Linked DNA regions of Neodiprion lecontei. Each later gene encodes a partner of the first gene's protein in a complex. Links are inferred from orthologs where the notes say so. Each region holds a gene or a part of one and is shown on either strand. Other genes may lie near its edges. The genes, in order: transcription initiation factor TFIID subunit 6 and transcription initiation factor TFIID subunit 9.

Evidence for each region.
Region 2: the proteins of transcription initiation factor TFIID subunit 6 (region 1) and transcription initiation factor TFIID subunit 9 are in contact, whole or in part, in a crystal structure (PDB 1TAF), measured with the Drosophila melanogaster proteins. The link is inferred for Neodiprion lecontei from reciprocal best matches to the Drosophila melanogaster genes Taf6 and Taf9. Residues at the interface, in NP_524161.2 of Drosophila melanogaster: Gly18, Ser19, Ser20, Ile21, Ser22, Glu24, Ser25, Met26, Ile29, Ala30, Ile33, Val35, Ser37, Leu38, Ser39, Asp41, Ala42, Glu45, Leu46, Asp49, Val50, Ser51, Lys53, Leu54, Lys55, Ile57, Val58, Gln59, Ala62, Gln71; in NP_523391.3 of Drosophila melanogaster: Lys20, Asp21, Val24, Ile25, Ser27, Ile28, Leu29, Glu31, Leu32, Val34, Glu36, Tyr37, Glu38, Arg40, Val41, Gln44, Leu45, Phe48, Thr49, Phe50, Tyr52, Val53, Thr54, Ile56, Leu57, Asp58, Lys61, Thr71, Ile72, Asp73.

Annotation. Positions count from the first base shown.
Region 1 is NC_060264.1:21,659,843-21,669,537, forward strand, and holds transcription initiation factor TFIID subunit 6, read right to left. Parts: upstream 6,031-9,695; 5' UTR 5,894-6,030; coding exon 5,744-5,893; intron 4,424-5,743; coding exon 4,111-4,423; intron 4,022-4,110; coding exon 3,618-4,021; intron 3,391-3,617; coding exon 3,172-3,390; intron 3,109-3,171; coding exon 2,926-3,108; intron 2,858-2,925; coding exon 2,635-2,857; intron 1,393-2,634; coding exon 1,091-1,392; intron 620-1,090; exon of another isoform or gene 562-619; coding exon 469-561; 3' UTR 328-468; downstream 1-327. Other genes in the region: ATP-binding cassette sub-family C member 4-like, read left to right, coding at 1-70. UniProt on the Drosophila melanogaster protein: TFIID is a multimeric protein complex that plays a central role in mediating promoter responses to various activators and repressors.
Region 2 is NC_060262.1:4,424,384-4,433,946, forward strand, and holds transcription initiation factor TFIID subunit 9, read left to right. Parts: upstream 1-4,186; 5' UTR 4,187-4,347; coding exon 4,348-4,486; intron 4,487-4,567; coding exon 4,568-5,017; intron 5,018-5,833; coding exon 5,834-5,982; 3' UTR 5,983-6,113; downstream 6,114-9,563. Other genes in the region: 26S proteasome non-ATPase regulatory subunit 1, read right to left, coding at 208-460, 787-1,013, 1,262-1,720, 1,804-2,012, 2,866-3,035, 3,160-3,277, 3,496-3,514; phospholipase A1 VesT1.02, read left to right, coding at 7,354-7,396, 7,537-7,711, 7,787-7,935, 8,497-8,742, 8,840-9,028, 9,099-9,249, 9,420-9,477. UniProt on the Drosophila melanogaster protein: TFIID is a multimeric protein complex that plays a central role in mediating promoter responses to various activators and repressors.

The DNA.
Region 1 (9,695 bases):
CGATACCGTTAACGAAGATGAAACTACCACCCAGTCATTACCATTGACGGAAGATTGTAAAGATCGGTAAAAACAGTCACCTCGTGTGTTTTATGGGATCTAGTGTTAAACTGTACCGACGAAGTATTAGTTGAATTTTTATTTTTTTCCGGTGAATCGATCAGCTGGTTCAACCAAAAAAACCTCAACCTGCAAGGTGAGCTGTAGAAATTTTCAATCGTAATGAGGTCAAAGTCTTATTTGTAATTTATCGAAGTTAGAAATGACCAAGGTTGATTAATTACCGGTTAGAAAACTGCGAACGAATGAAAAGTAGAACAACGGATATTGGTATTGAATTTTTTTATTTTGTTTTAAACTAACTTGAGTTACAACTAGACAAAACGTTGTGCTTTGTTCGTTACAATTAGGATTAGAAAAAATATTGGCATATACGTATAAATTTTATTAATAAATATATTATTCAATCTATTGAAAAGCGTGCTCGTCGGTGGGGCTCAGAGATCTTTCGATGCTTTGTTGAGTAACAAAGACTGTCTGTGGTTTAGAAGTAAGACTGGCCTGTAAAAAACAAGAATAAAAAAATATGGTGAATAAATTTTTTCTAATTTAGTTGCGTGAAAAAAAATGAAAACATTCTTATGAAACGACTTGTTTTTAATCCGTTTCGATCTTTCCGTGTTCGACGGGACGGGAAATCGAATTTTCAAACAAAGCATCTGAACACACGATAAAGCAAAGGAAAAAAAAAACAAATAAAATAGATCTCTGAAATTTCGCAATTACTCACTACACTGTGCCTTCGGTCGATAAACTACGCATATACATGTACACGCTGATTTGGTACTATATCGTAAATTTTTCAACGATGAGTTCATAAGTAAAGAACATAACAAAATCGACGTACTTCACAGTTTACCCCCTATGCGCATTAATTTCAGCGATTAAACAGACTGGATGATACTAGTAGCTGATGTCAATTGTGTTTCTAAGTATACAAAAAGAACGCGACTTGATGCAAAAGCACAAAAACGGAAAAAAACCAAGAAGAATGAGGTAGCGATTCGGTGTATAGACTTGATCCATGTACCTGAGACACAGTGGTCGTGGCGTTCTGGTTACTACTAGGCATGCAAACCACCACCAGTTTTGGGGTGCTACCCTGGAGATGTTGCTTTTGTTGATGACTAGAACTATTTTGCGTTATCTTGACCTGCTGCTGTTGCTGCTGTTGGCCTGGTGTTTGTACGACGTTCGGCATCGTCGGTGTCTGCGATCTCGACTGAAGTATGACGAACTTCTGACAGCCGCCCGTCGGCGTTGTTCCACCCCTGCCGGAACCCAGTATCATCGTTCTGCTAGGAGCCTGCTGACCTGGGCTACCCGCGGGCACTGGAATCATAGATCAGCCTCAAATGTAAAGTGAATAAATTTCGGAAGATTGGATATTCGGATCCCAGTAAATTAAAAAAGATTCAATTGTACTAGAAAAAATTTATTTTGGCGTCTGCCAATTCCAAATTATCAAGTAAACGTACTGCATTATGCTGACATCAATCCGATTTAATCGTTCTAGCGTTTTCAATGCGTGTCTACGGATTCGTTTCTTCGCCATTCTGTTATGTTTGAATTACAACGCAATTTCAATTCAATTCAAGCTGTAATACCTAATTTCGTTTCGATCCATTCCTGTTTGATCCTTTCGTACAAAAAAATTCACCGGGAACATTCCAAGTGATTTTATTGTAATTGACACGTAAGAAAGTGGAAACATATCAAATCCCTAGACACATATTCAAAAAAATTGAACGATTAATTCACATTGAGTTTCTTATCATGGATCAATTTTCTTGTGAAACTCGGACCGGAAAATCATCGAAACGAATCGGGTTCAATAAGTTCCAATCCTTTTCTGTCTACCGAGATGTTCAAGAAAAATTTCAACAATTTTCAAATAAGTATTCAGAGTATACACAGTTTCGGACGATTCCAAAACAACAGAAGAAAAGAGCATAACGAATTCGCATTCCCGAAGGTATGTACTTTAGTCAATATCAAATGATCGTTCTGGATCTCTCATAAGATCTGAGGATTTTTTGAAAGGTGTAACATGATTTTGGTGATTCCCGGCAATAGGATTCACGAAACAGGGTTGCTACTGATTTTGAATTGGGGAATTTTTTACTTATTCAGGTTCTCCAGATCCAAAACGGTAATTTTATGGATTATTTTTGTGTCTATAAAAGTTAAAGTAATGAACAACGTAATCTATCTCGAGAAATTATACTTTGGTAATTTGGTCATCGATAGCCGCTCATCGTGATAACAATCATACACCCCGTAACACATTCGACGAAATCCTCAGACTTTTCGTTTCTTTTTAGAGGTAAAACAAAAATCGCCAACCATTTCAGTGTTTTCAACCTACCAAATAGAGACTACCCTGATTTGCGTAATTTATTCTGTTTTGAATCATAGATTCCTAAACTATGAAGATTTCCTAGAATTACTAAGAGTCAGTCAATTGCCACAAGATTTTCAAACATCTCTAAGAAATTCAGCATAACTGGCACAGCATTAATAATATCCTGCGCCATTTCCCTTGCTTCCCAATAGTGAAACATGTTATTTTACCTGATTGAACGAGCGGTTTTGTCACCACAGTGGTTGGTCCCTGTTGCTGGTTTGTGGTGAGAGTGGTGGAGGCCGTTGCGGAGGTGGTAAGAGTTGCAGGTTGGATTCGAGCTTTAGCAACAGCGGCACAAAGCACTGGACCGACGTATCCAAAGTCTTGTTTGTACTCTTCAACGTAATCCGGAGCCGGACGCATGCCTTTCAACACAGGAGCGACAACTTTCTAAAAAAGCCAACACAATCTTAAATCAACTGCGAAGAGAGTTTCGAGCAGTTTAAAAGTTCACTCACAACTAACAGCGTCTTGATATGACCAGCACCGTTTTTATCAATACTGGAAAGTACGGGCCCCTCAATGCAGCTCTCGATCCTCTCAGATATGGATTTTATCTTTGGAATGATCAGCGCCTTGACCACCTCTGGGCCGAGCTCAGAGAGTCCTTCGATCGCCCCGTAGAGCGAGGCCAAGGGCGTCTGAAGATAACAGAAGTGTTAGTTTCCTCTTAGCCGCAGGTAAGGATGTCGATAATTTCTTACCCCGAATTGATTTACCTGACTATTCTTAGCCAGCGCCTGACTAAACATGCGAGTAACTCTGGTCTGCACATTGTTCGTCGACGTGTTGAAGTTCTTGCAGATCTGGGCCATCAGGCGTGATGCAAAATCTCTCAGCGCCCAATGATTGTCCATTTCAGGTCTCATGCATAGCTGCCGAGAGACTATGCACGTCGCTACTGACGGTATCAGCTCGTGCAGCTGAAATTAGTTCTATTGATGTTAAAATAGAGAAATAAAAGCCAGTAAGATTTGAAATAATTCAAGGAACAAATCATCGAGAAAGAAGAGATTGCAGTTATTTCTATAATTTCTTTGACAATTCGTTTAGCCTGGATTTTCGTGATTTTCATGATCTCCTTGAATTCTCAACTATCGTGAAAGCCGCTGCTGCTGTGTTGTGAAATTTTTTGTGGCAAATTACTCACGTATTTCTCTAGATAAAGGCTGGGATTGTCGAGAAGGGCTTTGACCATTCTCATGAGGTAAATGAGAAGTGCGAGATTGTTTTGCACCACATTGACCCTGACGCCTTCGGCGATGAAGGTGCACATTCTGGCAAGCATTTCATGCAAACCAGGATCCGCAGACAAAGATTGCAGGGCCTCAGCTCTACGAGCCTCGTCCGATCCAACGCAGGCCTCGGTTATCTCCTTGTAGTAGAGCTGCTGCTCAACACTGAGCTCGTGGGTAGCAAGCTGCTTTACATGCACCGTCTCAACGTTTCTCAACTTTTGACTCTTTCCTCCTCCTCCCGGCTTACCAATGCCGACACTCTGACCCTTGGCAGTGAGCTTGCTTGTCGGATCAACACTCTCAACCTTTTGCGCGTCTGGAAATTTTTTGAATTTATTTTTCAGATGAACAGCATCATGAAGTGATGAAATATTCGTGAATGACCGATAAGGCTTTTCAATTCACCCTTGGATACAGGAGGTGGATTTTCTGGAATCGTCGGCTGGACGCCATCAATGCAAAGCCAATGGGCTCGCAACGTTACTTCGAGCGGTAGCTTAGGCCACGACTGGCTGTTGGACACTGCTTCGTTCAAGTCTATCTCCTTGTCCTCGACAAAGTGCAATTCTCTACCTCCTCCCGATGCGAATCTGAAGGGGACGTTTTCTCGCGCAAAGAAGCCATATGTCGGCTCGATGTTCTTTATCTTTAATGCATGGTCGATGTCGTGTGCAGTCATCCTCTGACGCTTACTGTGGTGCATGAATTTTGCTGCATCCTGAATAGGTATTTGAGAAGTTAATTTAAGGATGATATGAAAAGTGAACACGAAGGTGGGTGATGAAATTAGTCTATTGTTGGAAGTAGAAAAATCTCTTTTATTATGGCAAATAAATGTGAAATCGACCAAATATGACCAAAGCAACACTAAAACCAGTCGAAATGCATCAAAAAGTAATCAAACATGATGAGCAAACGGATAATGGTGAACCAACACATGTTTAAATAAAACCTGTAAAATAGAACTGGTGGCCAATTTTAATGAAAATACAATTGAAAATAGTGAAATAAAACTATTTATCGGCAAAGGATTTACGTTGAAGGCCGTAATCTGTCCAAAAATAATTTGAAAGAACTAATGAGAGGTAAAAAAATTTGACTAAGATTAGTGTACGTCAAGAGGAGTCAAAGAAACTCAATTAATAGCAGAAAATGATGAAATGTATTCAAGAACATCCTAAACAGACTAACAAATTGTGAAAGAGGGAAAAAATAATGCTTATGCATGGCTACGTATGACTAAATGAAGTAAAAAAAATAGTCAAATCATTATTATAATGTGACTAAACATGGATGAGGGACAATTTTGAAAACAGTTGAAATACAGCTAAACAGTCAGCTATCATTAGTTTGCCATAAATAGATGACAATTAGTTTAGAAATAGCCAAATAAGATTAATTGATGGTCAAAAGTAAAGAAATAAGACCTTTGGTAGGCAAAAACAGCTAGAGAAATTAAATAATGAGCTGAATATTGAAACAGTATTGAAATTATAAATAGTCATAAATAATAAAATAAAAAGCCAAATGTACCCAAAAATAACGTGATTGGAATGCAGAGCATGAAATGTGTATGGTGGTCATGACGACAGAAGGGGGAAATTATTACAAAGAATAAAAATATTTGCTGCGATACAAGAGCTGTACGGCTGTATGCGTATGTGGTGTACGTACACATTCGCAGTTCTTGAATCCCTCCACCATGATGGTAACCTAACCGCGCTTGTGCATCCACAATGTTTACACTGTGAACGCCTTTTCAATACCAATATAATTAGGTAAAATATGACTAATGTGTGACTGAAAACGAATGGAAAAATGTGGCGAACATTCATATACAGTCAAATTTTACATCGACATGGATGAATAAGGACGAAATATGTCCAGAGATGGCGAAATGAGATAAATAAAAATTGAAAAGTAGGCAAACGAGATTAAATATTTCAAAACGTAGCTCAGTGGTGACTTCGGAGAGTTTAAAATTCGTCGAATATATGTAAATTGAGAGGAGAAAACAGAGAATACTACCGCAACTTGCCTGAATGATCTCCTTTAGCCTGTAGCTTACATCCTCGGCGAGATCCTTGGCAGCCTCGTCAGGAAGATTTCCGACCCCAATGCTTTCTGCGATCACTTTCATGGACTCCTGGGACAGAGTCGTCCCGTATATCGAATCGTTGTCATTCATAGTTCATCTGTGATCAATTTATACTTAATTTTTCACAATAACAGCATCGATTTCACAAACATAACCTACAAACGTTTGACAGGCTTCAACTATCGACAAGCTTCACATGATTGTCCACGTTGGCTTGTGGTAGCCACGAAGCTACCGTGAAGTAGTCCACCACTTTAAACGCGGCAAAATAAACAGGCTGGTATCGCCTTTTGGCAGAATCGATTCCATTCATCGATACATCGGAATAAGGATTGAGTTTCGCACAACGGTATGTACATCGATTCTCTTAAAAATACAAATTTGCACGACAAAACGAAAAAGGGAAACTGAAACAGAATTTTAATGAATCCGAAAGTACTACAAGTGGATAATATTCATTGTAATTATCACTGGTCTGCAAGAAAATCTTTTTTTTCCTCCTTCTTATTAGATTAGATGCTCTTGAATAGAAATACAGTAACAAATAATATGAACCACGTATATTTTTCATGTAATTTTTTTTTAATATAACGCTATTTTTGCTTACACATTATAATCAAACACTAATGATAGCAACAATGTTTATAAAAAATGTCATAAAATTAAAATGTTTACGCATTAAAATCGAAAGAAAATCTATCTACTAGTATAATTCTAGTTATTTTGTCATTTTCTTTCACACTAGACAACATTTTAACGTACTGTACGACATGAAGGCACAACGAGAACTGCGCAGACGCATGCATGGTGTGAATAAAACGGCGTTAGGCGATATGTTTCTTTCTCTTTCATCAGTTCGAACTGGTTTGTATCATGTACGAATACTACGAATACTGTTTAAATAGATTAAAGTAGTGCAAATGTAAAAACAAAACACAACAAATTCTTAATTTTAAACAATAAAAAAATCATATCCTGTAATATACATATGCGTGACAGCAGAAAATGGAAAGCAGATATAAATTCGGCACATTAAAATCTTCAAGTCGGAATTTTTTTTTTTTTGACGGAGCAATCCTTTGCAGACCTGTGTTACGAAATAGATGGATTTGTTATGATGGAAGATCCAGATGAATGACTATTATCTGATTCGTAAAATACAAAGAGCTAAAAGTGATCAAATCCATTGAGTTAAAATAATTTATCAAACGAGAAATAAGAAAATGGTGATAAAATTCATTTGCAAAAAATAATCTCACACATAAAATCATTTGTACCATTCGAAATTGTAAGTAATTTTTGGAGATTAATTTACAGAACACATCGTACGTATATTTTTATTTAAAGACATAAAAATAAAGTGTGCTAATATGTATAACAAGATGAACAATTGAGAAATTCTTCACATAGAATATACATAAATCTTATACAATAATAATATTTAGGTTTTGAAAAGTACAAACATTTACTTCCGATGCACTAGCCGTTATCGATTATTCGTTTTCATATGAATCAACGATAACATAGAATTCAAACATTGAATAAAGTTTCAGTGTTGTTATCTGTACGACTCCAGTGCACCTTACGTTTATTTTTGGCAAAAACTCAGTGTATTTTTAACTTTTGACCCAGTTTTAGCTAAGTCTAGGGCTGTCTCGATTTGTACATTGTTGACATGACAGTCTGCTCCGTTTTTTTACTAATATCTTATCAATATCCGTGTTAGTTTTTTACAATACTAGTTTACGACTTGTGATGGTTTCAGCATTAACGAAACCACTTACATCAGTTATCTCGGCTTGCATAATTTAGCAAATAATCAACAATTTTCACGCAGCCTTTTAGAACAACAATATGAAATATTGGCTAGTGTGGTGGTTTGAATTTGAGGGGCAACGGTGGTTGTCACGATAGAAAGATTGTCGTGCCGCGGTTGTATGGATCGACCACCAGAGGGCAGGGCTCGCGCGAATACCGCTCGCGTACTCTGTCGCGTAAGTCCGAACTCCGAGGAAAGGCAGTTAGATCCGGAGAATCGCTGAAGTCGGTTCGGCGAAAGTTTAAGTGTGTGCGTTGACCGAGGGCATATGTATAAAGATTGATAACGCTGGGTTATTGTGCGTAACAGTTTGCTGGGTTTGGGGGTATTAGCAGTTTCACGTTTCATCAACCAGGCAGCTGACGACGTCGGTAACAGAAATTCTTCATAACTAACAACTATCGCGTGCAAAACGTTGGTAACATACCGTCGTCATAGTGAAATTGAAAAGCTGAGAAAATCCCTTTCAAGTAATATCCGTAATTGGTCCGAGCATTCATACTTCGTTTGACGTCGCACATTGTTACGGCAATGTTCTACACATTTGATCGCGTTGTGCGCAGCTTAGGCGGTGTTTTCATTCGGCCGCTGAGACCATAGAGATGTATAAAATAGAGCGTAAGCAACGGTGTAAGCGTCCCGTGAACGGATTCGAATCGGTTCTCTAAAGGACAGGATAATAATTCTACAGAGGAGAAAAACAGATAGGCAGGCGCGTGCAGCTATCCCCACTCCATGTGAAGAGCGACAGAGAGGGCGGGGAGAATTATTATCCTCCGTTCTTCAGAGAACTGATTTAAGTTTCTTCTGTGCGCCGTACAGCATCAGTCGTTTCCGAGCCATCTGAGTCAAATCGCGTGCTCTCAGTATCGGTTCAACATTCAGACCGCGTTGTTCAGGTGGTGTCACGTTGTTCGATCAGTTTATTTCCACCATACTCATTTGTGAATAATACACGAGGAGCAGCGTGTATCCTGAAGAAAAACCAAGTTATCGAAATAAAAACATCCTACGAACATTGAAGGTGAATTTCGTGTCCGAATTTTCATAGTTTTGTGTAACTTCAGATTTCAGTGACGTCTATATTTGTCTCTATGCGTGGAGTGTCAATTTTATTATTTTTTTGGCTGGTTTTCGGTAAATGCGCAATTGCATTGTTAGCAAGCTTATTCAGTCGGTTCAAACAGACAGCTACAGACCAAAAAGTGAGTGTAGTATCGAGTGCTAGCGTTATTACAGTGCTGATTTTATGGATTACAAGAGATTAGTGAAGATCTGAATTGTGAAAAAAGTGCGTCGCTTCACCAGTAACCCTGAGATGCTACAAGAACTACTATATGTGAAACCGTGGAGCAGTCCAGAGTGGAGGTAACAATACTTATTTTAATTATTGATTGATAATCTAAGGTGGTACATTTAAAGTCGAACTTTTGTTCTTGCACAACATGCAATGCATAAATATGAAACTAGACAACAGTAGTAATTAATTTGGAAACTGGAAGCCAATTTAAAAAATTAATTGAAGTGTTCTATTTTGTTTTTCACAGATTTAAGCAGAGACTTCCGAGTAACTTTTTCATTTTTCGGCAACGTTGGTGAGTTTGCATGTGTTAGGTTACGGGTATTTCCCTGGGATTCCTCTGTCACGTGGCGTGGCGGTAACAATTGTTACACAAATCTTCGATTTCTTAGCTGCATGGATAGGCTCATTCCTAATCGCAACGAGCTTGACTGTATGTCGAATCAGTTTTTTTCTGAATTGAATTTAGCGTAGCTTACTTAAAATTTAAAAATATGCACGTTGCTAAAATTGGAATGAGCATCGCGACAGGTATCCATCTCTTACTCGGCACTCGCGAGATCGAATTGTGTTTCGTAACTGATGTAATAATCTACGTTTGAATTTACCGATGATGCCGTTTAAGTGGTGGGTTCACCTGAGGTTTTGAAAGTATTCAATTATTCACATTACTGTTAAATTGATAAAATTCCAAAGTCTGCCATAACGTAACGTGATCAACTTGCATCTTATATTATATATCATTTTCAATCTTTTAACATCCAACAAGTATT
Region 2 (9,563 bases), on another chromosome or scaffold:
GTAAAAAGCTCGAAAATATAAATAAACATTGCAATAAATTAGCATTTATTCATATAAGCCTGGTTTTCAAATCAAAACGAACATTTTTATCGCGGTCATTGCAGTATTTTTTGTCAGTTTTATATGCTGAAATTTTTACAAATTCAGCTAAGAAATTTAAAACCCTATGATAATATGACTAGTTAGTCATTTGAACAAAAATCTTACTTCATTTTGTGCATCCTTCAGCTGGCCGAGGAGATAATCGGTGATGGTTGCTCCATGGTTGGCGTGAATTAATCCCAACGCGTAGAGACCACCTCCTTCCGAATATCCGGCACCGGCGCCAGTCTCACGTGGTAAATAAGACTGCATCAAAGCCAGAGCTTCCTGTTCATGGCCTCTGTGTATAACACCCAATGACGCCGTGGCTGTTAACTTGGCCCAATTTGTGGCGCGAGCCAACCACTCCAAGTTGTCACTGAAAACGAGTAAGCAAGTCAGAAACTTCAGGTGAGAGTTGCAACCAAAAGTGTGAGGTTGAAGTTAGTATCGTTAACGTGAAAATTCAACTATGGGAAAACTTTTTACCTCACAATTTTAAAATTGCGTAATTTTGCGTCAACCATTGAAAATGAAGAAATACTCCTACTCAAAATTAACTTCTTCATAGGTACATTGAAATTGAAAATTAATGAGATTTTTCTTAAGGTTTTGCTAAGCTAACGTTACACACTTCAATTTTGTCCAGCGATTGATCACATCCATCCTATGTTATTCGTAGATTATTTATGGAAATTCACTTACCGAAGGAATTGATCGCTTGTCGTGCCGGAGTGCATGAAGGCATTCGCTATCACGGTCGCAGTGTGGCAAATCGACACGCGTATAGCGTCTTTCGTGTTCTTGAGAATCAGCATATCGGTATGATTGCTGCGAATTAAAAATTGTAGATGCAAATCTATCGACACCTCACCGCCCAAAATACTCGACAGCGCATCCACACGCTCCTGCTGCTCCCGCTCCTGGGCACTCTGAGTAATGTAAAAACAAATTTGTAGTGTGACCAACATTTGAATAGCAGATTTTAAACCATACTCGCTCAAAACTGGGTTTTAAAACAGCAGATGATTAACTACTTTGAAATTTGATGTACGACAGTAACTCAACTACTTTAACAATCAAATAATTATTCAAATTTTTTAAGATTTCTTGAAATCCTGAACATCTATTACACAACTTTACCGTCATAAATGTATAGCAAGACCTCGGTTGGACTTACCAAACTTTCTATGCTGCGCTGAGGAGTTTCGTCAGCAGTAATCCCATTTGGTTCGGTCTCGGTAGCCGGAGAATCGGCCGGTATTTCGGCAGTAGCTTTAACGGCAGGTTTTATAATAGGTTTGACCATAAGCGCAGCAGGAATCGGGGCAGTTGCTCTTAACGCCTGAAGAACACGTCCAAGGAATTGCTGAGTCGCAGATTCATATAGATCGAACGCGATCTGATAAGCCATCAATGAAAACTCCTGTGAACCTTTGCTCAATCTATCAAGAAGTTCGGCAACAGCTAGCGGATCGTCAAGAAAGATCAAACACTGACACATGTTGACGTAGTCGGGAGTTCCCAGGTTCCGATAGAGGCTCACGAGACACCTGAGCACCGTGTTGCGGAATCCCCGATTCTGAATGAGGCTCATAGCGACTTGAAAAGCGTAGGACAGCATGCCCGCAACGTCGTCCTAGAAATGTAAGAAAAGAAACTAATCTGGCGTTCAAACGCGGCACTCAAAGATTTTCGTAACATTCTTTCATAAATACTTACAGATTGCATGATAGCAGCTTCAAAAATGTCCATCCTGCGAGTCTCCAGAGCAAGACCTAGCGCCTGGCGGTACTGACCGTCGTCCAAACATCGCTGAAACATCCGATTCACGATTCCCTCCAAACGCGGATCAATGGCCTTGCTAGATACTGCAGACTTTCCTTCAACTTCGTGAATACGCTGCTGAGTATAAAAGTCAATGCACTTGGCTGGAAAAAGAAAATTTGTTTTAATGTATTAATTTGATAAGACCTTTATTTAGTCCAGTCAATAGAGACGAAAATCACGTGAGATAAAAGGAAATCATAAATCGTGAAGCGATTTTTACAAACCTTCTTAGCAAATGTTTAGTATCAAAAAAAGGAAAACCATTTCCCTCTCTCTACTGCCCAAAGACACATAGCTATACTAAAGTCACGGCATATATTGGTTACATTTCATTTAAAACATATTCTCAAATATCATTCTGGATATTTGCATCTGTTGAGAAAAACGTTAACATAGATTCCACTTATTTGAAGCAAAAAACTGTTGATTACTGGGCAAAAATTGATGATTTTTACTGCAGAAAATTTAACCAAATCGTATTTACAAAGATTTGACTTTCCTGTACAACCTTCAGAAAACGTGACTCAAAATGATAATTTTTTCTAATAGTTATAGATGTTGAAAAACAGGTAAATTTCAAATTCTCGTACCATGATTAATAAATTAATAATGGAATAAATTATAGATACATGAGTTTTGATGTGTAGGAATTCGCGTCCTATATCTTTTTGTGTAAAAAAAAACAGTTTTTTCAAATGGCGTCGTCGGTTATCAAAAAAAAAAAAATGACAAGTTCAATTATAGGAGTCACAGGTCAAAGACCTTGATTTAGAATTAATTTGAATAAACAAATTTTCGGGTGGACTTCTCGCATCTGTAATTCAAGTCCATAAAACGATAGTTTTCAATACAATTTTATGACTAGCATTAATAGTTAAAGTGAAATTCTCTATTGGCTAGACTAATTGATCCAGAACAAACCAGTAGCAGCAATTTGGACTAGTTTCAACTCACCGATCGTTGTGTCGACATACTCATTGCGAGCGTTAACGTCGAATAGCTCGCCAGCGCCAAGAGCATAAGTCAGAGAATCCTCGAAACTTCCAAGGTGGTAGTAAACCTTGCTGGCTACGAGCGCTGCCAGCTCATGCTGATTAAATCCCTTGTCTTCGTGCAATATTTCGCTGTAGATAAGTTAAACGACGCCTCATGATTATTATTATAGCAATTTTGCTTCTTAATCTTAAAAGACAACTCAAGTAACACACATACAGATTTGTACAAATAAATAAGTATTGTGACACGTACATTTTTTCAATCGCCTCGGATATCTCTGGCCAAAATTCGTCCACAATGAGATCTAGTTTTTTCAGAGCGAACACTTTCAGCTCAGGCATCGGCTCTTCCAGTAGGGAAATTATTCCCGCTGGAAAATAAATATGAACAATGAAAATCGAGTGTTGTCAACATATTTTTATCCATATATTATAGGTTAGGTATGACAAGGCTTGCAAATCATGTCATGACTGAAAACAGTGACTTGCACACGAGCGTAGCCGGCTTTCGAAAAACTTCAATGTCCTGTATTTTTGTCGACAATTGAAAATTTTCGTTGCCGGAATAACGAAAAACCGTTTTATTCACCTGCTGACGTGATGTTCATGTTGTTTTAGGTGAATCTTACGATTTAACGCAATTGTTCAGGAGACGAAAAACGTACAACGACTTGACGCGGATCAAGTCTACTGAACTATGCCGCAAATCCGTAATCATCCGCAATGGTAACAAGCGAGTGTCGAGGTATCGTATTTCAAAATATCGAACAGCTCTGGAATTTCCCGCAGTCTCAACATCAAAATCCACCTTTCCAAAAAGCAGCCAACCCGATATAAAACTCAATTTTTATGTATTTATACGTTATTTATGATTATAGAAAGGGTGACAGAGTCACTTGACCTAATTTAGTTTTCATTCCAGTCCATTGAACTATGCCGTTAATCCGTAATAGCGGTGAACAGCCGCAATCAAAACGGTAGAACGAACGAATATCGAGGTATTGAATTTTAAAATATGGAACTGGTCTCGAGTTTTTACGCAGTCTACCATCAAAATACACCTTTTCAAAAACAAGCCAACTTCATATCAAACTGAATGTTTTTGTATTTATATAGTATTTATGACCACAGAAAGGTTGAAAGGGTCGCTTGAGCTAATTTAGTTTTCATTTAAGTCCACTGAACTATGCCGTAATAGTGCTGAACAACAGTAATCAAAACGGGAAGACAAACGAATATCGAGGTATCGAATTTAAAAATATCGAACTACTATCGAGTTTTCCGCAGTTCCATCAAAATCCACCTTTCCAAAAACTAGCCTACTTCAGAGAAAACACAATGTTTTTGTATTAATGGTTCGACAGGGTCAGTTAACCTAATTTAGAAACAGCGACCAAGTTTGATATTTTATGAATTTAAAGTCGAAGGAAGAACACGAAATATGGCAGATAAACCGAAATCAATGAGCCAGATTAAACATGTACCGAAAGACGCGCAAGTTATAATGTCAATAATGAAAGACATGGGCATCACTGACTACGAGCCAAAGGTTATAAATCAACTCCTCGAATTCACTTATCGTGAGTATATCCTCTCTTGTATCGCGTTGTTTTCATCGTTTCATTAAAATGAATTACAATTTTACGTACAATTGTTCTCAGGTTACGTAACCTGTATACTGGACGACAGCAGGATATATGCTAACCATGCGAAGAAGAAGTTCATTGACTTAGACGATGTTAGACTCGCTGTAAAAATGCAGTTAGAACGTTCGTTCACCAATCCGCCTCCCAGAGATGTACTACTGGATGTAGCCAGAGCAAAGAACAATATTCCGTTGCCATTTGTTAAGCCAAACAATGGCCTGCGCCTTCCGCCCGATCGTTACTGCCTCAATGCCACAAACTATAAGCTGAAAAACGCTACCAAAAAGATCGTTGGTAAGCCGTTACACGCCATAGTTGGAAATAATTTTAGCGGAGGTCAACCCAGGATCAAGATCGAACCGAACAAAACTGGATTGTCCATCGTCAAGAGGCCTGGCACTCTCGCTACTGTTGCCCGAACCCAAGCTATAACAATTCCAAAACCTGTGTTCAAATTCACCACCGGTAAATATAAAGAGGTTTTCTTTTTTTGTAGAGGAAATTGGATTAGTAGATTATTTTCATTCCTATTCTATTCATACTAATAATTTAAATACTTATCATTTCGCAGATACTCGATAAATTTTCCATCCCCAATACCCCATCCTACTTGCCAATATTTCTGTTCTTTACCTTCCATATGAGAATTTATCTCAAGTTTCACATGCATATCAGTAGAGTTGATCGATCTATCTAGTCTCATTCGGAACTTCCTTCAATGATTGTAAAGACTTTCAGGAAAAATACTAGCAAATGATTCTTCAACAGTAAATGAATATAAAATTGTAGTGATTGAGCCTTTTACAAATGAAAAAGTATTACGGGGTTAAAGTTAGTAACGATATCTTAACGAAACATTGTACAAAAAAAATTTCACCATTTTCCAATTTTAAAATGACTGTAAAAGTTAAATTATCAAAATATCAGCATGTCTAGCTTATTATACGTTTTATTGAATTTCAGACAATTCGAGATTAGCGAAATAACGGTTTTCCTTAACATGCATAGTTTACAATAACGTCACTAACTTCAACGTGATAAAGTATTAATACAGTAATTGTTCTATGCATTGAAGTGTTGATAATTATCCACTGATTAATAAACTCTTGGAATGTGAAGCGAGTAAATCAAAATTTAGAGAACATATTTTTACTGGAAATTAAATTTATGAATTTAGAAGCATCTTCGGTCAATGAATTTAATCTTTGAAGATTGTTCAACTATATTGTATACATCATTATTATCTGCTGATACTAACATGCGATAAAAACATTTCGGCAGGTGCTGGAGCTGGAGCTCCAGGAGGAAAACCGGCTGTTGGAAAGCCAAAGATTCAAATTTCATCAAGTCAACCTGTGTCTGTAATAAAAATGGAAACTGATGATTCGTCGAAGAGAAAAAGAGAAGAAGAAGACTACGATATTGCCTGACTAACTAAAAAAAAAAAATGTACCCGCGTCATATGAATAATATTATTTTATAACAATGGTCTGTGCACCCCAAATCAACACTTCTGATTCCCTAATCGTTCTGATAATAAATACAGTATTTATCACAGTTACTCAATGTTATAGGCAATTTAGCTATTATTCACTCCCACTTACGTTCACAGTTTTCTTTCAATCAAATTATCCACCATTTAAAAAAATGAACCAACATTTACCTAAATCATTTTTAGTTTAATTTCTAGTCTGTCTTTGTCTGTTTGGTACGAATAGTCAGCATCTGGCCGAATATACAATTATCACCGTGCTAAAGTTTACAATGAATATTGATCATTATTCCTATCTTTAATTGTATTTACAAATGAAACTTGAGATACATCGATAAGAAACATCATACGATCGGAATCACGTTGGCAGTTAATGTAATGCTTTGTTTTCAACAAATGTAAAGTAGTTATCATTTGAAATCTGGAGTATGGGTCATGGGTGGTACCAGATAATCAATCAATCGTAAAACTCGTTGAAAAAAACCACCAGCTGTTTTTGAAAGGTGTTTTGCTTTTCTAAAAAGCTCTAAGATTGACCTATAGATTGATATTGTGTCCCAGAATACAAAGAAAGTTGACTTTGGAATGGAGTCGCTAGAAACCATTGTCTCCTAAAAATTTATAAAATTGATCTGCAACAGATTTCTGCATCTGCATACTGACATTGGTATTGCACCTGAAGAAGTATTACACATTCTTTCACAGTAATAGACTTGTAATTCTTAATACTTTTATTGTTTAATTAAAAGTCGTCAAACTGAACATGTTTGAGTTGATTAATTAAAGAAGTAGAAATCCCAGTTTAGCAATCAAGCCAACAAACAGGATGTAACAATATGCGAAAAAATTGTACGGATTAAAATTGATTGATGGATTTAACAGTGGCGAATGGCGTGATCAATTCAGCACTTTGGCTTTGTTAGATAATAAAATTACGACCACTACTGTATAAGGATAATATCTCAGTTAGTTGCAACGATATACACACTACAAAAACTAACTGAGTAGATTGACAAGTTTTATCAGTAGCCGAATATATACAGTATACTACTATAAATACTGTCATCCAGATAATAATCTTGTTTGTTTTAAATCAAAAATACCAAAATGGGCTAGATCAAATGTTTAGATTTTATCACATTTTAGATTAGATGAAAGAACGTTGTAATTGAGCCTTAATCAATAACCACAAGGGGATTGAAACTCAGATTTAAATCTGTTTTGATTATCAATCACGAATCGATAATTGCTGGCACTATAAGTACAGTATTCTGCGAATAACAGGGCAATTCAAGTTTTTGTTGCAAAAATGAAGCTACTGCTCATAGCTGTTCTTGCGATTACTGCCTCAGGTACGATACCATTCAATATTACTTGATTTTTCTCGATTATCGATTCACAGTGCCGTGAATTTATTTCATCATACCATTTCCAACAATTTCGAGGCACTTGGTTTACATCGAAAATTAATTATTTGATCAAAATAATGCAGTTTACGCTGGGGAGGTGATTGAACCTGAGCATGACTACATGTATTTCCCTGACGGAGACGGAGTTCCTCAACTGATCGACCTGCTGGAAAAGGGTGAAGATCTGACTGGTTTTGATTCGAGTGATTCCATCCTTTCTCGCAATGTCGAAACCATAACATTCAATCTTTTTACTCGGTGAGAATAGAGTTCTGTTGACTTTTAAGCGCCGTCTGACCAGCTCAAGCTAATTACAGTCTTCTCTTTGCACAGTAACAACCCCAGGAATTCTCAGCTCTTAGTTCTCAACTCCGTATCTAGCGTCAGTGGTAGTAACTGGAGCAGTTCTCGCCCGACTCGATTTATCACTCATGGATGGAGGTCGAACCAGAATTCAGACGCCTGCATTACCATCCGCGATGGTAAGAAACCGGTGCAAACTTATTATCAAAAATAAACTGTAGTTATATTAGAATCCAGAGTAGTTCTTGATACATTTCAATAAGAGATCTGTTGATTTACCCCTAAGAAAGGGCTGAACAAGGAATGAAATATTAACTTGGCGTTGTATCTTACAGCATCTAAGCGGATTTCGATCATCCCAGCTGAATGGAACATTTATCAGATGAATCCTCTGCTGTCCAAAAACGGGTGAAAAAAAAAAAATATTCCATTCAGCTGGAATAATTGAAATTCGCTTAGACGCTGTAAGATACAGCGCAAAGTTAGCGTATCATCCTTTATGCACCCTTTTTTTAGGGTAAATTAACAGAAATTTTATTGAAACTTATCAGGAAATATAGAACTAATCTGGATGTGAATAGAATTGTAGCATGTTTTTGACATAGAGATGATGGGGATGCTAAGTTCACACCGGTTGTAAGAATTACAGGAAAATTGTTTTTTCTAAGACGTAATTTGACTTCACATCGTTGAGTCCTGTGTTCATATTTGTGTTCATATCTCCTCGTTTTTATCCTCAGCCTACCTAGCTGAAGGCGACTACAACGTGATTGTGATCGATTGGAGTTCCATTGCTGGTGCTCTTTACGTGAGTGCTTCATCAAGCGTCAGAGGTGTTGCCGCCAGAGTTAGTCTGATGATCAACTTCCTCAGCGCCAACGCCGGCCTCAACGTAGCATCGACGAAACTCGTTGGACACTCTCTAGGTGCTCACGTGTCTGGAATTGCTGCCCGCAACGCTGAGGGCACAATCGACGCTGTCATAGGTGAGTAAAAGGCAGATGAGATTCTTTAACTCGTTCGAAAATCCGGTCTTCTTTACACAAGGAATCGTTTTTCATCATTGCACGAATATTTTCACAGGTCTCGACCCAGCGCTTCCTCTTTTTAACTCTGCTGGAGCTGGATCCCGAATTCACCAAACTGACGCTGACCATGTTCAGATAATCCACACAAATGGAGGACTTCTCGGCATCATGGATGCCATTGGTGATACCGATTTTTACCCCAACGGCGGTAGCAGTCAGCCTGGATGCGGACTGGACCTTGTCGGTAAGTTTCGCACAAGTTGAGAGTTTGTCATTGCGCATATCGCAGCACTCTAACACATTATCCTTTACAGGGAGCTGCGCCCATTCCCGCGCCTATTACTTCTTCGCAGAATCTATCAGGAACCCGACCGGTTTCCGTGCCACAGGAACACGTTCAATGTACCTGGAAGCACTTGACCGACACAACGAAGTGTACATGGGTGGTAGAGTTTTTAACAAATTGTAAGTACGAGTAGAAAAACTTTGTTTAGTACAGAAAACAGCTGCGGAGATACTTGTGTATGTCCACCGAGAATTATTAGTATCAAACCAGTTACAATAAAGAGAAAAAAACTTTGGAGCTTTGCCATTACAGCTTCGGAACTAATGAGCGATTAACATTATTTTTGCAGTGCCAGAGGCAGCTTTACTCTTGAGACAGCCAGACAGTCTCCCTATGCTTTGGGATGAGCAGAAGCCTTGATTTGATTTCTATAAATCAGAGCATGATGGCTGGTGTAATTGTATCTTATATATATATGTTTAAATATACTGTA